Schizosaccharomyces pombe: one gene and its partner. The protein of the gene in region 1 interacts with the protein of each later gene in a pairwise test. Each region holds a gene or a part of one and is shown on either strand. Other genes may lie near its edges.

Evidence for each region. Proteins that work in one complex are often made in the same cells at the same time.
Region 2: the proteins of gpn2 (region 1) and mtr10 interact in a two-hybrid assay, tested with the Schizosaccharomyces pombe proteins (one large-scale study listed by BioGRID).

The regions. Positions count from the first base shown.
Region 1 is NC_003424.3:4,666,615-4,670,768, forward strand, and holds gpn2 (GTPase Gpn2), read right to left. Parts: upstream 2,140-4,154; 5' UTR 1,728-2,139; coding exon 780-1,727; 3' UTR 505-779; downstream 1-504. Other genes in the region: AP-3 adaptor complex subunit Apl5, read left to right, coding at 1-54, 100-362, 402-425; DNAJ domain-containing protein Jac1, read left to right, coding at 2,260-2,937; sfc2 (transcription factor TFIIIA), read right to left, coding at 3,274-4,154. UniProt on the Schizosaccharomyces pombe protein: Small GTPase required for proper nuclear import of RNA polymerase II and III (RNAPII and RNAPIII). May act at an RNAP assembly step prior to nuclear import.
Region 2 is NC_003423.3:1,764,207-1,769,672, reverse strand, and holds mtr10 (karyopherin Mtr10), read right to left. Parts: upstream 3,589-5,466; 5' UTR 3,523-3,588; coding exon 3,424-3,522; exon of another isoform or gene 3,395-3,423; intron 3,373-3,394; coding exon 604-3,372; 3' UTR 535-603; downstream 1-534. Other genes in the region: Sm snRNP core protein Sme1, read left to right, coding at 4,540-4,578, 4,616-4,705, 4,815-4,890, 5,120-5,169; DNA-directed RNA polymerase I complex subunit Rpa34, read right to left, coding at 5,166-5,466.

The DNA of each region.
Region 1 (4,154 bases):
ATGTTGAAACGTCGATGTCAGATGAGGCTTTCAATGCTGATAAAGTGACAAAAGGTTTGTTAATGCTATTGATTATATTGTTTTTGCTAATAATTTTAGTTACAAAAAATAAGAGACGGAGAAAGATTTTTACATCACCTAGTTTACAAGCTATGGTTGTAGCCCAAGACGAAGTGCCCGAAGGAATAAGTTTGGCTGATATTGAAAACAAAGAAAACCCTTCTAATAGTAATGTATACTCCTTAATTTCTTTGGACCCTCCACTTTCTACCAATCAAGGATCAATGGGTGATATTGTGTTGGAAACAAAATCGCCAATTCGCGTTGAAAAAAAGAAATCCAAAAAAAAGAAAAAGAAAAAGGTATGACAATCACTTTACGAAGTAACTAATTATTGAAAGGAAAAAACATCCGGGAAAGAGTAAATTACTGTACTGTTGACCGCTTTTCTTTTTCATTTCGAAATGCATTGTAGATTTATCTTACTTTGAAAAGAGTCTTAAATCCAAAGAAATGTTATTTGGTGCAATTTACAAAGTGTTTATTATAAAAGTGATACATTAAATTTTTGAGATTTACAAAAAGGCTATCTCAATATTTTAAATTTTTACCAAAATTTAACTGTATGGGACTTTGCGAAGTGTGTTTACCGTTGATTGAAAGTATTGTCTTAAAACTAAAACACAGTAGCAAAAGATGAAGATGACACAAGCAAGGTTGAGTAAAATCTTTCAACTTTCAAATAATTCAATTTGCAAATCCTTAGTAGTTCAATGTCATTACCCTTCATTTTCATCTTCGTCCATGGTCGATTTTTGCTCTAATTCCCATTCATATTTGTCATATTCCTCTTTCTTGTCAATCCATCTTTCCTGAGGCGAAATACCTTGAAGAGGGTCTCCACCTTGACGAACGGCATTCACCCAAACGGCATCACCACCAATTTCTGTAGATCCATATGCATATCCACCTGCTTGATCGATTTTTCGAAGAACACGTAACATACTGGCTTTATTTTCTACTGCAACAACTTCAAAAGAAACAAGATTAAAATCTTCAACAAGTTCACAAATAGCTTTGTTTAAATCACTATAGCGCTGAAGACGTTTATCTCTATCAAGCAAAGGCGCCAAATATGAAAGGTCTTGTACTTCGGTAAAAAAATCTAGTTTCATTGGTAAAGTTCCATACGTACAAAGCAAATCAGCCTTCGACAAAATATTTACATGTGGCATGTCCAGCTGAAGCATCCCCTTTAGGCAAACAAGCAGTGCACTAACATATGCAGAAGGATTCGTGCAGCAATATGCATCTACAAGTTGTACGGACACAGGTCTATAATCCAGTTCCTTTTCCAAAGTTTTGATTATTTTTTGTAAGGAATTATGGTTTGTAAATAACTCAACTTGACCAGGGCAATCAAATATCACATATGAATCTCGATGCTTTTTTAGCTCCTTAAGCAACCATTCAACGTGATATTCAATTGCTTCCATAGCATAAATAAGTGCTCCATTTGGTCCTAAATCATAGTCTTTTTGGATCATCTCAACATCGAGAACTTTACGAATATCAATTGCGCATGGGTATTTGATAAAGTCATTTGCTGGGTCAAGATTGACGATAATACTACTCCTTCCTATGGCAGATAATAATTGGTACATTCCGAAACAGTAAGTTGATTTCCCAGAACCCGGAGGTCCAACGACCACTTGACAAAATGGCATGCTGCTCTAAAGTACAACAATTAGAACCAAATGTGTAATTCCTTTTGCAGTATATTAAAAATGTTTTTCATAAGTTTTTTGAAAGATAATACTTTTGTAGTATGTATTGATATATCAAAATTTGATATTTAAAAAAAAAAAAAGGAAAAAAAACTGAAAATACAAAGATTGGTAGAATTTCCTTAAATTTTTCAAATGTAGACGTTAAATTCACCGAACTGCCTTGGTTTTAGGAATATTTAGCTTGGAACAGAGGTTTCCAGGGTCTCTGCTTTTTAGTAAGATGTCCGAACTAATCTCACTGTTCTTAAGAGATGATTTCGAAAAACAATTGATGTTAACTTTGAATGATTATATTTCCTTATGTAATATTGAAGTTTGAGATGACATTTAAAGAGTTGTGGCAGTTATTGAAATTTGGCAATAACAACAGCAGTTACAAGTCAACTCTTGATACCTTTTTTTTTCAACTACTTGAAATTCTAATTATTCACTTTGGATTTGCATAATTTCTTTTTTTTTTGTATCATAAATGTTAAAGCAAGCTGGAAACCAGAGCTTTAGGCCCTTTATTTCTTTTGCACAGAAGAGTTTATTCAATCGACAAATTACTGGAAATCATTGGATTTTTGCTCGCTTCAAATTTTATCCTTTAAATAAAATTGTTAATTATAATCATTTTCATAGTTCATCATGCCAGTCAGAGGCTAAAAACTTTTACAAACAATTTGAAGGAGATATCTCGGATCCGCCTCCTAAAGGTCCGTTTGATATTGATTTGGGAGCATTAAAGTCAAGCTATTTAAGAAAAATGAAAACATTACATCCTGATGTTGCTCAGGGAAAAGACGCTGCCTTAGCTCAAAGAGATTCTGCAGAATTATCGAAAGCTTATAACACCTTAAAAGCTCCATTGACTCGAGCGGAATATATTCTCCAGCTTCAAGGAATTAACCCAGTTTCTGAAGATATTTCTAACAGTGACCCTGAATTTTTGATGGAAATCATGGATGTACATGAAAACATTTCCGCTTCAAGGGATTCGCCAGAGAAACTCCTACAGCTAAGTCAAGAAAATCAGGGTAGAAAAGTTCAGGAAATTAATGAAATACGGAAAGCAATGGAGTCTTCAAATTGGGATAGTGCTCTGCTATATGTCAATCGGCTCCGATATTGGAATACAATTGACAAAATCCTTCACGATTTATAATATGAATTGATTACTTAACTGTAATTACAAGATTTTATTAACAACCCTTAATTTGAAATGTGAGAGAACCCCTGTATTCAAAAATATTTGAAGCATGAAAGGTTGCATTTCTAAATCTGCATTAAAAAATTTTATATTATTCAATTCGACGATTCAAAGGTATGAGTCTCTTATATTTTAAAAGAATGTATTGACATCAAAGATTGACTAAACCAAAAGCAAAAAAAAAGATAGAGGTTGCTTATAAATTTATTATGAAGAGAAGCTAAAACATGGCTTTGTCACATTTATGCTAAACTTTTCCGTTTTAGAATAAATTGAAGTAAGGATCGTCGTTCAGTGATGGGAATTAAGGTGTCTATGCATATCATATAGCCGTTTGAACCGGTAATTGCATTCTGGAAAGGAACAGCTGTATTCTCGGGCTTCTTTATATCCATGCCCGGTAACTTCGTTGATTATTTTTTTAGCCACGTCAGATACTAAGTTTGAACTCAATTCTTTCTCTTTTTGGTCGTGAATTGCGACCCCCTCTATTCCATCATGTTTGATTCCACATTCATTAATGTATGGTTTATGAGCTTTTTTACAAGTGCCGCGCTCCAGGTGTCGTTGCAGCATATGTTTATATCCAAATTTGGTACCACAGCTATCACAATGAAATGCCATATTACCTTCGTGTATTACAGATATGTGTTTCTTTAGAGCAGAAGAGCGTGTAAAAGATTTCTTACATCCTTCCATTGGGCAATGATACGTCTTCCTTTCTTCCAAAGTTGTTTGATGAAGTACAACATGGTGTCGAAGGTGTGCTGCGGTTTTAAATTGCCGTCCACAAATTGAACAACTGGGAACATGGGCCTCCCGAATGTGATTTTGTAACTGACTCCATTTTTCAAAACCCTCATGTCCGACACATGATTCATGAGGACAACTGTAACTGATAATTTTTTCATGAGCCCGGTTGACATGATTTTGTAGTTTCTGCTTTGTAGCAAACCTTAGTTCACAATCTTGATACGTACAAGGATAAGGCAAAAGATGAGTATGACAAGCCGAAATGTGGGATCTGAGTTGTTGATGTTTGCTAAAACATTCATCGCATCCCTCCCATGTACATGCATATGGCTTTGGCTTTCGATGGACCTCGATGTGGCGTTCAAGATGCTGCTGAGTATAAAATTGAGCATCACAACCATCATAATGGCAACTAAAGG
Region 2 (5,466 bases), on another chromosome or scaffold:
GGGGTTTCATTATAATTACTGGTAGTCATATTAACATTCAGTATTGTAGCTGTTATCATTTTTTATCCATGTAAACGATTTTCAATGAACTCATACGATTTATACGATATCCCTTAAAGGTGTTTACGTAGAACGGTGCGCATTGTTATATGGGATAGCTATTACAATAACCAATTAATAGCTAGCTAGCTGTATGTACTATATGCTGAATTGATTAATTTCTTTTAATTCGGTGGACGAAATAATCTTTTGTTTAATTTTCCTTTTTTTTCATTCATTCCTACTAACTTTATGATTATGTACTCAACAACCTATGACTTCGGTGTAAGTATCTACACTATGTTTACATCTGCTTTTACAGCTGATATACAACGATGCGAACTTGGATCAATGGGTTGTGCCAGTATAGTAGTAAAATAAGCGCTAACAAGAATTTGATAATGTTCTACCGTGCTCTAAAACTTATAGCTTCCATTGGCAAAAATCTCAAGTTTTTCCTTCTACTGTAAACTTAATAATGTTCCCAAACGTTCATTTCAACCAAACCATAGTACCATTTCATTATATTACCTAATTTTTCTTCTTTTCATAGATGACCCAACATTAGTCATCAGAAATTAATTTTGCCCTCGGGGTTAGTACACGACGCCGGTACATTGCAGTCCAATCTTGTAGATGGGCACGCAACCGGGGCATTTCGGAGGAGGTGCAGTGCTTAGAAAAATTGGCTAGGAACTTTTCGCGTTCCTCTTGTCCAATTGTCATAGCCGGAAGTTGATCTAAAACATTCGACATGTACTTAATACACAAGCTAGGGTCAGCTGCAAAGACTAGCCGAATAAGAGGAATCAAAACCGCTGATGCATCTGATATGTTATCTCTAGGAAAGGTAAACACCATTCCATTAAAAAGTATGATGTATAGTTCTTGAGAATTTTTAAGCAACAAGTCAGCTAAACTTTTTAAAAGCGAATCAGGAAGTGGTTCGATAAGTGAATAAGGTGGTGTATGCAAAGCAAATGCAAGCAAGTCTTGTAGGAAATTTAAAACTGTTTGAAGAGGCTCCTGCTGCTCCAGTTGTAAAGACATCATGGCCGCCTGTATTAAAGATTCTAGCATTTGGCTCTCTAGTACCATTTGTGGATTTGCTAGTAATGCATCCATCATAAGTCGGAAAAAGTCATCAATCACATCAGGTATCTCTTTGGGGTTTTTGTTAGACATGTAATAAAACATATTTGTGCATTGTTTCCCCACAAAGCTCCAAACAGCACTTAACGTTTGTTCATCCATTTCTGGCACACCAAATTGACGCACACATGCTCCGCTAACCCACAAGAAGCAACCATATTGGGTTTTTTCAAATCCTTTAATAAGTGCTTCTGTAATAACGGGTAGCGTTACGATTGCTTTTTCCTTGAAAGTGTATATAAAATTTTTTAGTAGTTTGCTAATACGTTCGCATATTAAGACGTCGGAAAACGTGTCTAAGGTTCGTGACAATATCGGCCAAATGTCTTGAAAAAGTCGAACAATGGGGTGTAGCTCTCCCGCCGGAGATGGGGGGTGAACGAGAGACAAAAAAATCGTAACGATATCAATATTGTCAGCCAGTGCTTCTAACTCTGCCTGAGTGGGATTTAGCTTAACTTGCGCCAGCAAAATACTCTGAAGTGAGGGTGCAAGAAAACTGTGCACAGATTGGTATACATTCGCAACTGGCTGAATGTCTACGATGTGAGCCAAGCCTTGGGCAACTTCCATGAGTGGGTCAGGAGCTAAGTACGTTTTGGCATTTAAGTAAAACATGTGTAATTGGGAGAGATGACCAACCAGTTGTTCCCTACAATCATAGCAGAAGTGCTTCAAGGCTTGAGCGGCTGCACTTTGAACCTCTTTATTTGCAACCTCAAAACCAGCAGAAATATAATTAAGTTGCAATTCTAAAAATTCTGAATGTTGCGCAGTCCATTCTGTGTATCTACCAAGGAATAGTGTAGCTGCATATCGAACTTTATTGTTTTCTGGCAATTGAGGAAGGATTTGGAAAAGGCTACCGATGACTTGATCCTCGTTGGCAGGAACCATTCTACCAATGGCTCTTAAAGCAAATAACGGAGCTTCGACATCCTGCCAGTAGTAAGGAAGACCAGACTCCTTAATTTTGAGCACTTTGATAAGCTGACTAGAAATCTGAACCAAACAAGAAGATACACCAGCAACGACACAGCAATCCTTGAGGACATCACCCATTTCATGTCGAAAAGACCGAAAACGATCTTCAGCATCCCTATCCTCAAATAATACTTCATTAGAAGCCATTTGCTCATTTATAGCCAAATCTTCAGTTCGTGGATAATGCAAGTGACGCACAATAATACGAACCAACTCTAAATATATAGGAGCAAATAGCTGACGAGCTTCAGCATAAACATCCAACTCTACCATTTGTTTGAGATCCCACCAAAATGCGAATGTAAATTTAATCGCTTCCAGCTCTGTATCGTTAGCTGCAACTTGAGCAATGCAGTTTACTAAAGGCAAAAAATCATTCGGCATCCTAGCAATCAAAACAACCCAAGCTTCACCAGCCTCGGCAAAAAGCCTTCCTAGTGCACGAAAAGTTTCTGGGTCATCACAGGCCGCAATAAGTTTAGGCTGAAGTTCAAGTAAACGTGGATAGAGCATCAGTATGGCATCAGTAGTTTCATCAACATCTTTAGTCTCATTAAAAAGGGCACATAGAAATTCTACAGCATCTTCTAACAGTAAGTCATCATCCAGAGAACGGAAAGCAAGTTCAATTAAGGGAGAAGCCATAACTTTATCAAGGGGAATTTCTCTCAACCAGGAAATCAAACTCGTAAGAACAAGACCAAGGTCAGCGCTCGAAGGAGATCCTGAAGCACGGACAGCATCGACATATTGCACCAGAAGCTCGAGTACTGCTGGACCGTTATCACGAAGAAGTTCATCAACACGAATACATAACTCCTCCCAACTCAATGAAGTTTTCCTTGGATCACTAGCTTCTTCAGGGAGTACTGATAAAAACTGTAAAACACATCTTCCACTGGGGTCTTTGGAGCTACAGGCTTGAAAAACATCGGCTATAACATTATGCCATTCAGTCATATGTAAAGCAATTGCAGCCATACAAACAGCCAATGATACCAATAAAGGTCTTGGACTATCTTTAGCTGCTAAAAATAACTGTAGCAAGGAATTACGAAATTCAATATGTGTTTCCTTAGGTAGCTGATGAAAATCGTATACAATTTTTTGGCGCAAAGTTTGTGCGGCAAATAACTTTGCTTCAATGCTGCTGTCATCTTGATTCAAAATTGAAAAACATATTTGCCATGCAGCAGGCTAAAAATATGCAGGTTAACATCATCCAGTTCAAATCTCTGACTGACTTACACTTTTCTGAAACTCTTCTAAGTAGTTGTTTGCTTGAAGTTTCTGCTCACGATCAGTGTTGGCATACAAAGTAGCCAAAGCACTTAACAACGTTTCCATGAGGGCATAAAAATCACTTAGATTGATTGCTTTACGCACTGGCAGCGTGTGTTTTTGTTTCGGTTCAGACCTGTAGTAGCAGTAAAAGACCTATTTAAGGAACAAGTAACTTATACCTCTTTATTACAGTATTCGGGAGGTTTTCCATGATCATTATAATAAATAGCATTCAAGGCATTATGTCTCAGTATAACGTTGATTTTTAATTTTAATACATTTGGTAGAGTAAAAACTTCAAATGTTAGAAAATAAAATTTGCTTAGGTATTCCAATTGCTATTTACATAGCTACCATAATAATATAATTCTAGCCACATAAAGTAGTTTCGCGTGCTATATTTTATATATCCGAAATACAATGTAAAGCGCATAGTAGTCTGTTTCCTAATAATACTGGCAAACATATGGATTATATAATATCTAATGTATGAAACATCCGTTTGATGCAGCTGGTAGAACCTAATTTAGAGCTGTTCAAGGATTCTGATTTCCAAATATTTATCAGATTTTGGCTATTTTCATTACAGTCTTCTTCATTTCTATTGTCAAATCTTTTTGAATCTATGGATATTAATCGTCTAAATTAATGTAATTTTTGCTGAACTTTGATAACTTGTTTATTGTTTTTTTTTAATGTCATTTTTTACTGAGTAGCTACTCACGCTAAAGTACATTTCTTGCTTTTCTCAATCATTTAAACAAGTGAATTGTCCATAAATTGTCTAATAAAAATAACAATACAATCTTGGCTGCTTTGATTGAAGTTTAGCAACCTACACTTTTGTATGTATGAAAGTCGATAAAAAATTAAAACAGCTTATTGAAGATCAAATTACATATCTAAAAAAAATAAAAAAAAAATAAAGGATCGATAAACATTGATCCATGTGGTACAAATTTATTGAAGAGGTTTTTGGTCTTGGCTAAATATCCACTAAGTCAGTGCTGACAGGCCGCCAACTGCACCATTGCACAACCATCTATAGAATTTCGTTTTTTGATAAAATAAGTTTTCAAGATGTCAGGACGCGTGCAAAAAGTTATGATACCTCCTATTGTATGGTTAATTGTTGTTGGATAGCTAACTTACGCAGAATTTCATTTTCAAATTGTTGCAACAACATACTCCTGTTTCAATTTGGCTGTTTGAACAAACAGATATAAGACTTCAGGGACAAATTAGGGTAAGAAATTTACTTTATGGAAAATCCCTTCATAGTCGTTGGCCTAGGATTTTGAAATACCTTCATTTTCCCTACGACAAGTTGATGAATTGCTAACGATATATGACAGGGCTTCGACGAATTTATGAACATTGTGCTTGACGATGCTGTGCAAGTAGATGCTAAAAATAATAAAAGGGAGTTAGGTAAGCCTGATTTTAGACGAATAAAACCTTGGTTTATGTGAAAGAATGTTCGGTGGGATTTTATTCAAAAGTCTTTACATGAAGCAAAAATAATAATAGATGCATGTCTTAAGCTGATTTACCAAATTGCGTTTCCAGCAACCTTACAAATTCTAAAACAAACCGTTGATGCAGATTTTTGTTCTAAAATATTTAACAATTTCCCAAACCAATTGCTAACATTGCTTAGGTAGAATTCTATTAAAAGGTGATAATATTACACTAATTCAAGCAATCTAATTTTTTTCCTTTTTGCTGGATTTCTTTTGCTTTTTCTTCTTAGGTTTTTCTTCCTCATCCTTCTTTTCCCTTTTTCCCTTTTTCAATTCCTTTTGCTTTTCCTTCCCTTTATTTTGTAATTCCTCTACTGTAGCATCACCAGTCTCTTGTAAAATATGTTCTTTGATGCCAGACTTGGGTTCAGCTTCAGGTTCCGATTCAGGCCCTACAGCATCTCCAATCGGGCGAAAATGCTGTCTCAGATTCTTTCTTTGAGGAACAAGTGGTGCCTGCGTAGGTATTGTAATACCAGTATCA